Cricetulus griseus: one gene and its partners. The protein of the gene in region 2 interacts with the protein of the main gene of each other region in a pairwise test. Links are inferred from orthologs where the notes say so. Each region holds a gene or a part of one and is shown on either strand. Other genes may lie near its edges.

The links.
Region 1: the proteins of Kif5b (region 2) and Prkar2b interact in binary tests that used the Homo sapiens proteins (3 or more experiments, as listed by UniProt). The two-hybrid records come from large-scale screens. The link is inferred for Cricetulus griseus from reciprocal best matches to the Homo sapiens genes KIF5B and PRKAR2B.
Region 3: the proteins of Kif5b (region 2) and Zbtb8a interact in binary tests that used the Homo sapiens proteins (3 or more experiments, as listed by UniProt). The two-hybrid records come from large-scale screens. The link is inferred for Cricetulus griseus from reciprocal best matches to the Homo sapiens genes KIF5B and ZBTB8A.

The regions. Positions count from the first base shown.
Region 1 is NC_048598.1:169,556,954-169,560,180, reverse strand, and holds part of Prkar2b (cAMP-dependent protein kinase type II-beta regulatory subunit), read left to right. Parts: intron 1-347; coding exon 348-413; intron 414-503; coding exon 504-642; intron 643-3,227. UniProt on the Homo sapiens protein: Regulatory subunit of the cAMP-dependent protein kinases involved in cAMP signaling in cells. Type II regulatory chains mediate membrane association by binding to anchoring proteins, including the MAP2 kinase.
Region 2 is NC_048596.1:208,258,254-208,261,913, forward strand, and holds part of Kif5b (kinesin-1 heavy chain), read left to right. Parts: intron 1-38; coding exon 39-182; intron 183-1,545; coding exon 1,546-1,734; intron 1,735-2,157; coding exon 2,158-2,275; intron 2,276-2,981; coding exon 2,982-3,043; intron 3,044-3,142; coding exon 3,143-3,252; intron 3,253-3,660. UniProt on the Homo sapiens protein: Microtubule-dependent motor required for normal distribution of mitochondria and lysosomes. Can induce formation of neurite-like membrane protrusions in non-neuronal cells in a ZFYVE27-dependent manner.
Region 3 is NC_048595.1:23,683,754-23,686,390, reverse strand, and holds the end of Zbtb8a (zinc finger and BTB domain-containing protein 8A), read right to left. Parts: intron 1,603-2,637; coding exon 1,270-1,602; 3' UTR 528-1,269; downstream 1-527. UniProt on the Homo sapiens protein: May be involved in transcriptional regulation.

The DNA of each region.
Region 1 (3,227 bases), on a different chromosome or scaffold from region 2:
ATGCTGCTACTTTCCAAGGCGCACAGAATGCAGACGTACCCTGTTGGGGGGTGCTGCTGGATTACACAGCCATGCTGACCTTCTTATGTATATGGCTCAGCACAACATTCGGGGAAGATTCCTAGCCCAGGTTATTTTCTGGTAGAGAATGTGTATTTCAAATGTTTTTGAAAATAAAAATGTTACCACATAATTATCAGTTGTAACCTCGGAATGTGGAAGATGAAATAGCCTCTTCAGTATGACTTCACTTACAAACTGGAACTTATAAGTTCGCTTCAAGGGCATGATTTCAGGGTAGCTATGGAATTTTCATTTTCACTATGTTTTTTTTTTTCTTTTAATAGGGAGATTTGGCAGATTCTTTTTTCATTGTAGAATCTGGAGAAGTGAAAATTACTATGAAAAGAAAGGTAAACATTTATCAGTCCTAAATTCCTCAATTAGCAAGGATGTTTCAATGATGTTAGATTTAAATGTAACTCATCTCACTGCCTTCTCAGGGTAAATCAGAAGTGGAAGAGAATGGTGCTGTGGAAATCGCTCGGTGTTTTCGGGGACAGTACTTTGGAGAGCTTGCCCTGGTCACTAACAAACCAAGAGCAGCGTCTGCACATGCCATTGGGACTGTGAAGTGTTTAGGTAGGGGTCACGGTGGTAGGCCTGGTTATGTCTGCAGTCCAGGCACTCAGATCCCATGGGACATTTTATTGGGTTCACAAGTACTGAAGTCCTCACGAAATATGATTAAGGTTTGAACTTACTTTAATTATTGAAATAAGAACTCCCAGTTAAAAGTTTTACATTTAATTTGTCAAGAAAATGCCATACTTTGTGTTCCTCAAAAGAGAAGGCTAAAATGGTGCGGTTTTTGTTGTTGTTGTTGTTGTTGTTGTTGTTAAGTTCTTTATTAAACTCTGCTGGGAAGTTGGGATGACCATGAAAAATTCAGTCATATCCACCCCCCACCCCCCCCCCCCACCCCCACCCCGGGATGGGGCTCAGGTCTATAGGAGCTGTCAGAGCATAATCAATTGTTGTTACTCAGCTTGTTATGGCTTTGGTCTACCTGGGGAGAATGACAGAAATGCCACTTTCAGTTGGCATCTACAGAGATTTTGTGTCTGAGAAATCACTCACTTAGGTAATGAAAAAGATCGTTCAGAAATTAGTAACATAAATGACTTTTTTTTTAAAGATTTATTTATTTATTATGTATACAATGTTCTTCCTGCCTTCATGCCTGCAGGCCAGAAGAGGGCACCAGATCTCATTATAGATGGTTGTGAGCCACCATGTGGTTGCTGGGAATTGAACTCAGGACCTCTGGAAGAGCAACCAGTGCTCTTAACCTCTGAGCTATCTCTCCAGCCCCTAACATAAATGACTTTTAAAAACCGATTCAACCATAATTATTCTCCCCGTGTACCTCACAATACAAAACAATAGGTTAGTTTCCATGATTTTTAAGATTTACAAGGTTCCTCAGGATATTCCTTACAGACTGACTCACTTTGTAAAAGGTTTTCAGGAAGTACAATATTAGTGAACTGTTACTGTGATGAACGGGAAGACACGCCTGACAGATTCTCCTCAAAGCTGTTGACTGTAAGACAAAGGTGGCGTGTGAGAAGCTGCTCATTCTGTAATAATTACATTAAAGGAAGTGGCAGAAATACAGGAAGTATACAAAAATATAGGAAAAGCCAAGACACACCCATGTCATCACCATCTCCCCATGGCTTCCACTATTGTAATTCCTTCTTGTTTGATTTGCATGAGTTTTCTGTTTTTAAAGAATTTTCCACTATGGAATTTTGTTAATACATCAAATTTTGACATTCTATTAGGCAAATGCATACACGATAAATTATCTAATCACTTACTGGTAAATGTTTTATGAGCTTTGGGTCCAATCTGTATGTGTATATAGATATGCAGAGGTGACTCTTTACAGTCTTTTTAAACGATTTCTCTTTAATTAGTGCATTACTTATATAAAGTTACAACACTTACGTTAGGAGCATGTGCTTTGAACACTCGCCATACTCACCCTGATGGTCTCCCGCTCTTTTCAAAGAGCCCCTCCCACTTTCAGAGTTTTTATTTAGATTTCCCCCTTCGCCTGTAGAAAAATGTACGGTGTCTGCTTCACTTAGCATGATACTTCCAAGTTTTGTTCATTCTTCTGCAAATGTTACAATTTATTTTTCTTTGTGGCTGAGTAACACTGAATTGTGTGTATGCACTTTATTTTTCCATTTTTTGGTTGATACTTAGGCTGATTCCATAACTTGGCTATTGTGAATAGTGCTGCAATATACACGGGCAGGTGAATCTCTCTCTGATGTGCTGACTTTGACTCCTCCAGACATTGCCTGGGAGGGTAGAGGCTGGATAAAATTGTAGGTCTAGTCTTTAATGGGGAAAGTATGTATTGATTTCCTAGCAGCTGCACTAATCTATAATCTCATCACTGGTGGACAAGGCTTCCATTCTTCAAGAGACCTTACTGACCTTTGTTGTTTCTTGGTGATTGCTGCTTTGACTTTGGTGAGATGGAAATCTCAATGTAGTAGTGACCTGAATTTATCAGATGGCTATTTTTTATGTATTTATTGGCTACTTGTTTTGAGATTTAGTTCATTTGCCTATAGTCAATTTTTTTTTTGCTATTGTGCCTTCTATACCATGCAAGAATGTCCCATAAAAACCTTATAAAACCTACCTTTTTAACCTATGCAAATTTGAGAGAGAGAATTTGATATGTTAAGCCATATATTATAAACTCAAGTTTAAAATGCATGAAACAGCCAGGCCTACTGTGTGTAATTCCAGTACCAAAAGTGGGAGGATCATAAATTCAAGGCCAGTTTGTTCAAGGTCAGTGTGAACTATTTAACCAGGCTGTCTCAAAACCAAAACCACAAAATAAAAAGAAAATGCATGAGGCGGACAAGCAAAGTGATGAATATATTGATAGATGCAGAAGAAAAGCATTATGTTAGTCACCAGTTTGAATTGTGTAGACAAAGGTATAAATGTGTAAAAATCTTCACAGCATGATATCATGCACTCCGAAAAGAAGGGAAGAAACACTCTTGTAGCACTTTTCGGGAGTTCTGTTTACTTTTGAGAGCTCTGAGACTGAGCCATGTTAGACCCTCATTTCCTCAGCATGGACCAGGCACCTCCCAGCAGCTTTGCCACAGGTTCATCAGCTGTCA
Region 2 (3,660 bases):
TTTGAAGAGTCTCATCTGTACTGTTTTCATTCTGGCAGGCAACTTTAGCAAGTATTGATGCTGAGCTTCAGAAACTGAAGGAAATGACCAACCACCAGAAGAAACGAGCAGCTGAAATGATGGCATCATTACTAAAAGACCTTGCAGAAATAGGAATTGCTGTGGGAAATAATGATGTGAAGGTAACGTGGACACTAATATTACATGTAATTTTCCGTATACAACTCACCCTTAGGCTTACTGTTCTGTTGTGTATACACATTATTGTGCAGGTGCATATGTTTTCAGGTGTGTGTGAAGGTGAGAGATCAGTCGTAGATATTGTTTCTCAGCACCCACTCACTTTGGTTGGGGTTTTCTTTTTCTTTGCTTCTTTCCTTGTTTTGTTTGTTTGTTTGTTTGTTTGTTGTTGTTTTTTAAACAAGTCTCTCTCTCAATGGGACCTGGGACTTCCTACAGGGACCCCTTCCTCCCAAGCATTGGGAATACAATTATGTGCCCACTATACCTGGCTGTGTTTTGTTTTGAATTTTGATATTTTTAATGTGGATTTAAAAAGAAAAAAATCCTCAGGCTTTTGTGTTTTACTGACTACACTGTATCTCCAGCCCTACTATTTGGTTTTTGACAAAGTTCTTTTCATACCTGTTATCCTCATAACCATGTGTGGTAGGTAGTGTTAACTATATTATTAGATTTTTTTTATTTATATATGTGTGAGTGTATATCGTGTGTGTACATGTGTCTCTGAAGGGCAGAAGAGAGTCTTATATCCCTTGAAGCTGGAGTTAACAGCTGTTGTGATGCCCCATCTAGGTGCTGGCAACCCAGTTCAGCTCATCTGGAAGAGCAGCAACAAAAACATTGAGACATCTTCCAGCCCCTTAATTTTGATGAGAAAAGAGGGAGTAAACCAGGGCACAGAAATAGAATATTCACAATGCAACCTCATTGAGCCTTATTGGATTCTTCCCTCAAATGTGTAAAGATTTTCCATTAAAAATCACCTTTCTGGCCTGGTGGTGGTGGCTTAGTGGGCAAGGGTACTTACCACATAATCCTGATGGCCTGAATTTGATCCCTGGAACCCATGGTGGAAGGGGAGAGCTCAGTTGTCTAGCTTCCTTACCACAGAGATTAAAAGTGACCACCACACCTGCTGAGCTTTTACCTGGGTTCTGTGGCTGAAAATCTAAGTCCTCATACTTGACAGCATGCATTTTACCCTAGGAGCTATCTATCTGGCTATACACATGATGTTTTGGAAAAAGCACCTCATTGACTTGCCTAGACTGAATGGCTAACAAACCTAATTTGGGAAAATAGACATTGAACAATTTTGGCTTTAACTCCCCCCCCCCTTTTTGAGGGCGGTGGTGGTATTTGGTGTTTTATTTTGAGACAGGTTCTCACTTGGTTCAGTTTGTAAATAGGCTGTTCTTGAGCTTACAGAGATCTTACTGCCTCTGCCTCCCAAGTACTGGGATTAAAGGTGTTTGCTACCATGTGGCCCTAGCTTTAACTTACTTCATGTTTTTCTCACAGCAACCAGAGGGAACTGGTATGATAGATGAAGAGTTCACTGTTGCAAGGCTCTACATTAGCAAAATGAAATCAGAAGTAAAAACCATGGTGAAACGCTGCAAACAACTAGAAAGCACACAGACTGAGAGCAACAAAAAAATGGAAGAAAATGAGAAGGAGTTAGCAGCATGCCAGCTTCGTATCTCCCAAGTATGTTTTACATAATGGCTTTGGGGGGGTTCTAAAAAATTAATGTGTAAATTTTATTATAAAGGTTTTCAGAATCATAAGCTTCTGTTTATTTTCTTTCAGTAACAAAAGGCCTTGTTTTCTTAGTGTAGTTCTTAGTGTAGCTGAATGATTTAACATGTACATCCTAAGTATGGAAATTGGCCAAAAACATATGACTGATGACAAAATGGATTAGCAAAACTGCAGGGACCAGTGTTCTGTCTTTGGCTGCTGAGTAATGGTAGATACTACTTGAGGAACTGTTCAAGGAGGGTCAGTAATAGCAATGTCTCAGGTTGCAGGTGATATAAGCTGTATAGATAATTGTCTAATCTTCATATTTTAACTGCACAGTGTATGTGAGATATTTCCCACTTCATATCAGTATTTTTTTCCCCAAAGCACGAAGCCAAAATTAAGTCACTGACTGAATACCTTCAAAATGTAGAACAAAAGAAGAGACAGCTGGAGGAATCTGTTGATTCTCTTGGTGAGGAACTAGTCCAACTTCGAGCACAAGGTATTGGCTCCTGATTGCTATGTCCATACTCTTCCTTACTTTTATATAGTTGTTGTACACATACTTAAACTGAAAGAAAATGGTAAGAGTATAAAAAATTTGGAATAGTAAATAAATTATCCATCGTGGCTTTGAAATATTTTCATAAGGAGTATCTGGCCTGCAAATACATACACACACAGATGAACACATTCATGTGAACATGTGTGGCACACACACACACCTGTTGAGAAAAAAGAAAAATTGAGTATAAAAATTGAGTATAAATAGCAATTCAAGGGATTTCCCACAAAGCTCTTGTATATATGTAAATCCTAACATAAATCCTAACACTTAGAAACTATGTCATTTCCTTTGTGTGATATCAGTACAGTGGTGTTAATGAAGTATCCTAGTGTAATTGAACTTGGAGAGTTTGGCCAAGTTCCTTTTTTGTTGTTGTTGTTTTTTTTGTTTTTCAAAACAGGGTTTCTCTGTGTAGCTCTGGCTGTCCTGGTACTCACTTTGTAGACCAGGCTGGTCTCAAACTCACAGAAATTCACATGCTTCTGCCTCCAGAATGCTGGGATTAAATGCATGTGCCACCACCGCCAGCTTGGCCAAGTTCTTAGAAAACATATTTGCTCTCTGGTTTCTATTAGGAATCTTGAGGCTCACTTTGGTCCTCTTTTTTTTTTCCCTCTCTCACTCTCTTGTACGCAAACAGAAAAAGTCCATGAAATGGAAAAGGAGCACTTAAACAAGGTTCAGACTGCAAATGAAGTTAAGGCAAGTTTGATGCTCCAGTTCGTCCTAATGTTTTTAATCCATCATTATTATTAATCTTAGTCTAACTTTAATATCTTTCCCCTTCCAAATTAATTTTAGCAAGCTGTTGAACAGCAGATCCAGAGTCACAGAGAAACTCACCAGAAACAAATCAGTAGTTTGAGAGATGAAGTTGAAGCAAAGGAAAAACTAATCACTGATCTCCAAGAGTAAGTGTTGTATTTTTCGCTGAGTTGGTAGAAACTAATTCAAAAAGGTTGACTCTTCAAACAAGAGAGGATGATAAGATACTAATAGATAAACCCATTCTCACTAGAATCTTGTTTTCAGTGAAATTAGAATTTTTATCATATTTTTAGTAAAACTTCCCAAGTTCCAGATCAGTTTTGAAAATATATTTTTAGACCTTTTCATCAGAATATTTTGTAAAATAGGGGAAAGAGAGCAAGGAGCTCCAGTTTGAACTTGTTAGTGTAGGTGATTACTAGCTTCTAAGATGTTTGAGAAAGGCATCTCCAACTATGGGGATGTTGTTTTATTTTTAAAAGTCATTATCTTTTATCTAGAAGCCATTTCTTCTCTTCTCATGTTTCTTATCTTCACATACATAGACTATA
Region 3 (2,637 bases), on a different chromosome or scaffold from region 2:
ATGGCTGTCTTATAAGTCAATTTGTAGTTCAGGGGAAAAAATTTTTAACTTTTATGTTTTACCTGCATGTATGTTTATACACCACTTGAGTGCCTGATGCCCACGTATCAGAAATAGGTGTTAAGACTCCCTGGAACTGGAGCTACAGATGGTTGTGAGATGCCATGTGGGTGCTGGGACTCAAATATGTGTCCTCTAAAGAGACAGTACTCTTAACTGCTGAGCCATCTCTAAAAGCCCCTGGACTTGAATTTTTTTTTTTTTCCCCCGAGATAGGGTTTCTCTGTGTAGCTTTGGAGCCTATCCTGGCTCTCACTCTGTAGACCAGGCTGGCCTCGAACTCATAGAGATCCGTCTGCCTCTGCCTCCCGAGTGCTAGGACTAAAGGCGTGCCCCACCAACATCCAGCTGGACTTGAAAAAAAATTTTTTTTATAAATACATATTCAGGATTTCTTTTCTTTTTTTTAAAGACTTTATTTATTATGTATACAACATTCTGCTTCCATGTATATCTGCACACCAGAAGAGGGCACCAGATCTTATAACGGATGGTTGTGAGCCACCATGTGGTCGCTGAGAATTGAACTCAGGACCTCTGGAAGAGCAGTCAGTGCTCTTAACCTCTGAGCCATCTCTCCAGCCCCTGGACTTGAAATTTTTAATACATTTGCTGGGGCCTGCAATTGGGTAGCCAGACTCCCAAATTCAGTCTTGCCTGATTCCCTGTGAGGTTTAGTATTATAACATACATGCTTTTAAAATACATTAACATTTTGTAGGCAGGTTTATTGGTGGGTGAAGGTAAGGGGCCCTGCCACCAAGAATTCCATCCCACATGGTAGGATTTTCTTCTGGCTTCCTTCCAAACACAGGCTCCCCTCCTCCCCAAAACAAAATGAATCAATAAAAATATAATAGAAAAGATTGTCTTAAAGTTTTGTGATAGATTAATTTAAAATATTTTACTCAAAAATGTTTGCTAAATAGATTTTTCCAATATTTAAACAAAATGCCATCTGTGTAATAACAGAAAGGGTAACTGATCATCCATCATGCCAATACAAGCAAGGTCTTCCCAGAGCAGCAACATAGTTCAGGGCAACCAAGTTCAGAGTGGATACAATGGCCTATTCAAAAAGCATGCAAGTTACACCAGGTCACTTCTAAGCCAGCCGGAGAAATCCATTAACCGGGCTCTGCCCATGGAGAGATACAGGACGTCCATGTAAACTGCAGGCAGGCCAGCTCTGAGGAGTCGCACTTCAGGCTACCTAATGTTGGGTTTGATTTCCTTCTCCTCTTCTTCCTCACTATCTTCAACCTGTTTTATGACCAGATCGGCAGACCCGTCCTCCACAATCTCCACGTAGGATCTATTCTCTTCCTCACTCAGATGCCACCTCGAATCCTTATCTCCATCTGCGGGGGACATGCAGTGTTGCTCAGCTTCCAGATCAACAGGGAGGCTGTCGATGCCAGCTTCAGCAAGGCACTCGTTACACAGTCTGTAGCGCCTGGTTCCTTCCTGCACCACCTGGCCTGTGAGGTCAGTCACGTGACGTTTGCATTTCCTGCAGATTAGTTTGCATGCCTGATGGATCTGTATAGAGATTTAAGAAGTGATTAAAATAAGTTTTCAGCTGGGCATTTCATTGGTGGCGCACGCCTTTAATCCCAGCACTCGGGAGGCAGAGGCAGGCGGATCTCTGTGAGTTCGAGGCCAGCCTGGTCTACAAGAACTAGTTCCAGGACAGCCTCCAAAGCCATAGAGAAACCCTGTCTTGAAAAAACAATAAATAAATAAGTAAATAAAATTTTCAAAAGTGTGTCAAGTTTGCTATTTTAGGGACCAGTTCATATTCTTCAGATGCTCAAAGCCATACATTAAATTCAAGTTAAGATCTAATTATCAGAAAAGATCCCAAGATATTGACAAATGCACACCATGGACACATCACATATCAGCTTTCTCTAAAAATGACTATAAGGTTTTTCTTTAAATTATTTTATTATATATACAGTGTTCTGTCTGCATGTGTTCCTGCAGGCCAGAAGAGGGCCCCAGATCTCATTGCAGATGGTTGTGAGCCACAAAGTTAGATGGAGGCTGGATAGATGGCTCAGCAGTTAAAAACACTGGCTGCTCTTCCAGAGACCTGGGGTCAATTCTCAGTATCTACATGGTATCTACTCATAACCATTTAAAAGTTCAGTTTCAGGAGACCCAGTACCCTCTCTGGCTTCTGAGGGCATCAGGCATAAGTATGCAATATGCAGACAAAACACTCATACACATAAAAATTAAAAAAGAAAAGCTTTTTAAAAGATTTATTTTTTAAAAAAAAAAGAGGACTGGAGAGATTGGCTCAGTGGTTAAGAACACACATTGTCTTTCCAAAGAACCTGAGCTCAGTTCCCAGCACCCACACTGGGCAACTCACAGCTGCCTTTGTAACTCTAGCTCTAGCTGTAGCTCTAGCTCTAGAGAGAGGGAGAGAGGGAGAGGAGAGGGAGAGAGAGAGGAGAGGGAGAGCTAAAACTAAGTTTTTAAAAAAGCTTTATTATGTATGCAGTTGTATACAGTGTTCTGCCTGCACGTATGCCTGCGTGCCAGAAGAGGGCAACAGATCTCAAT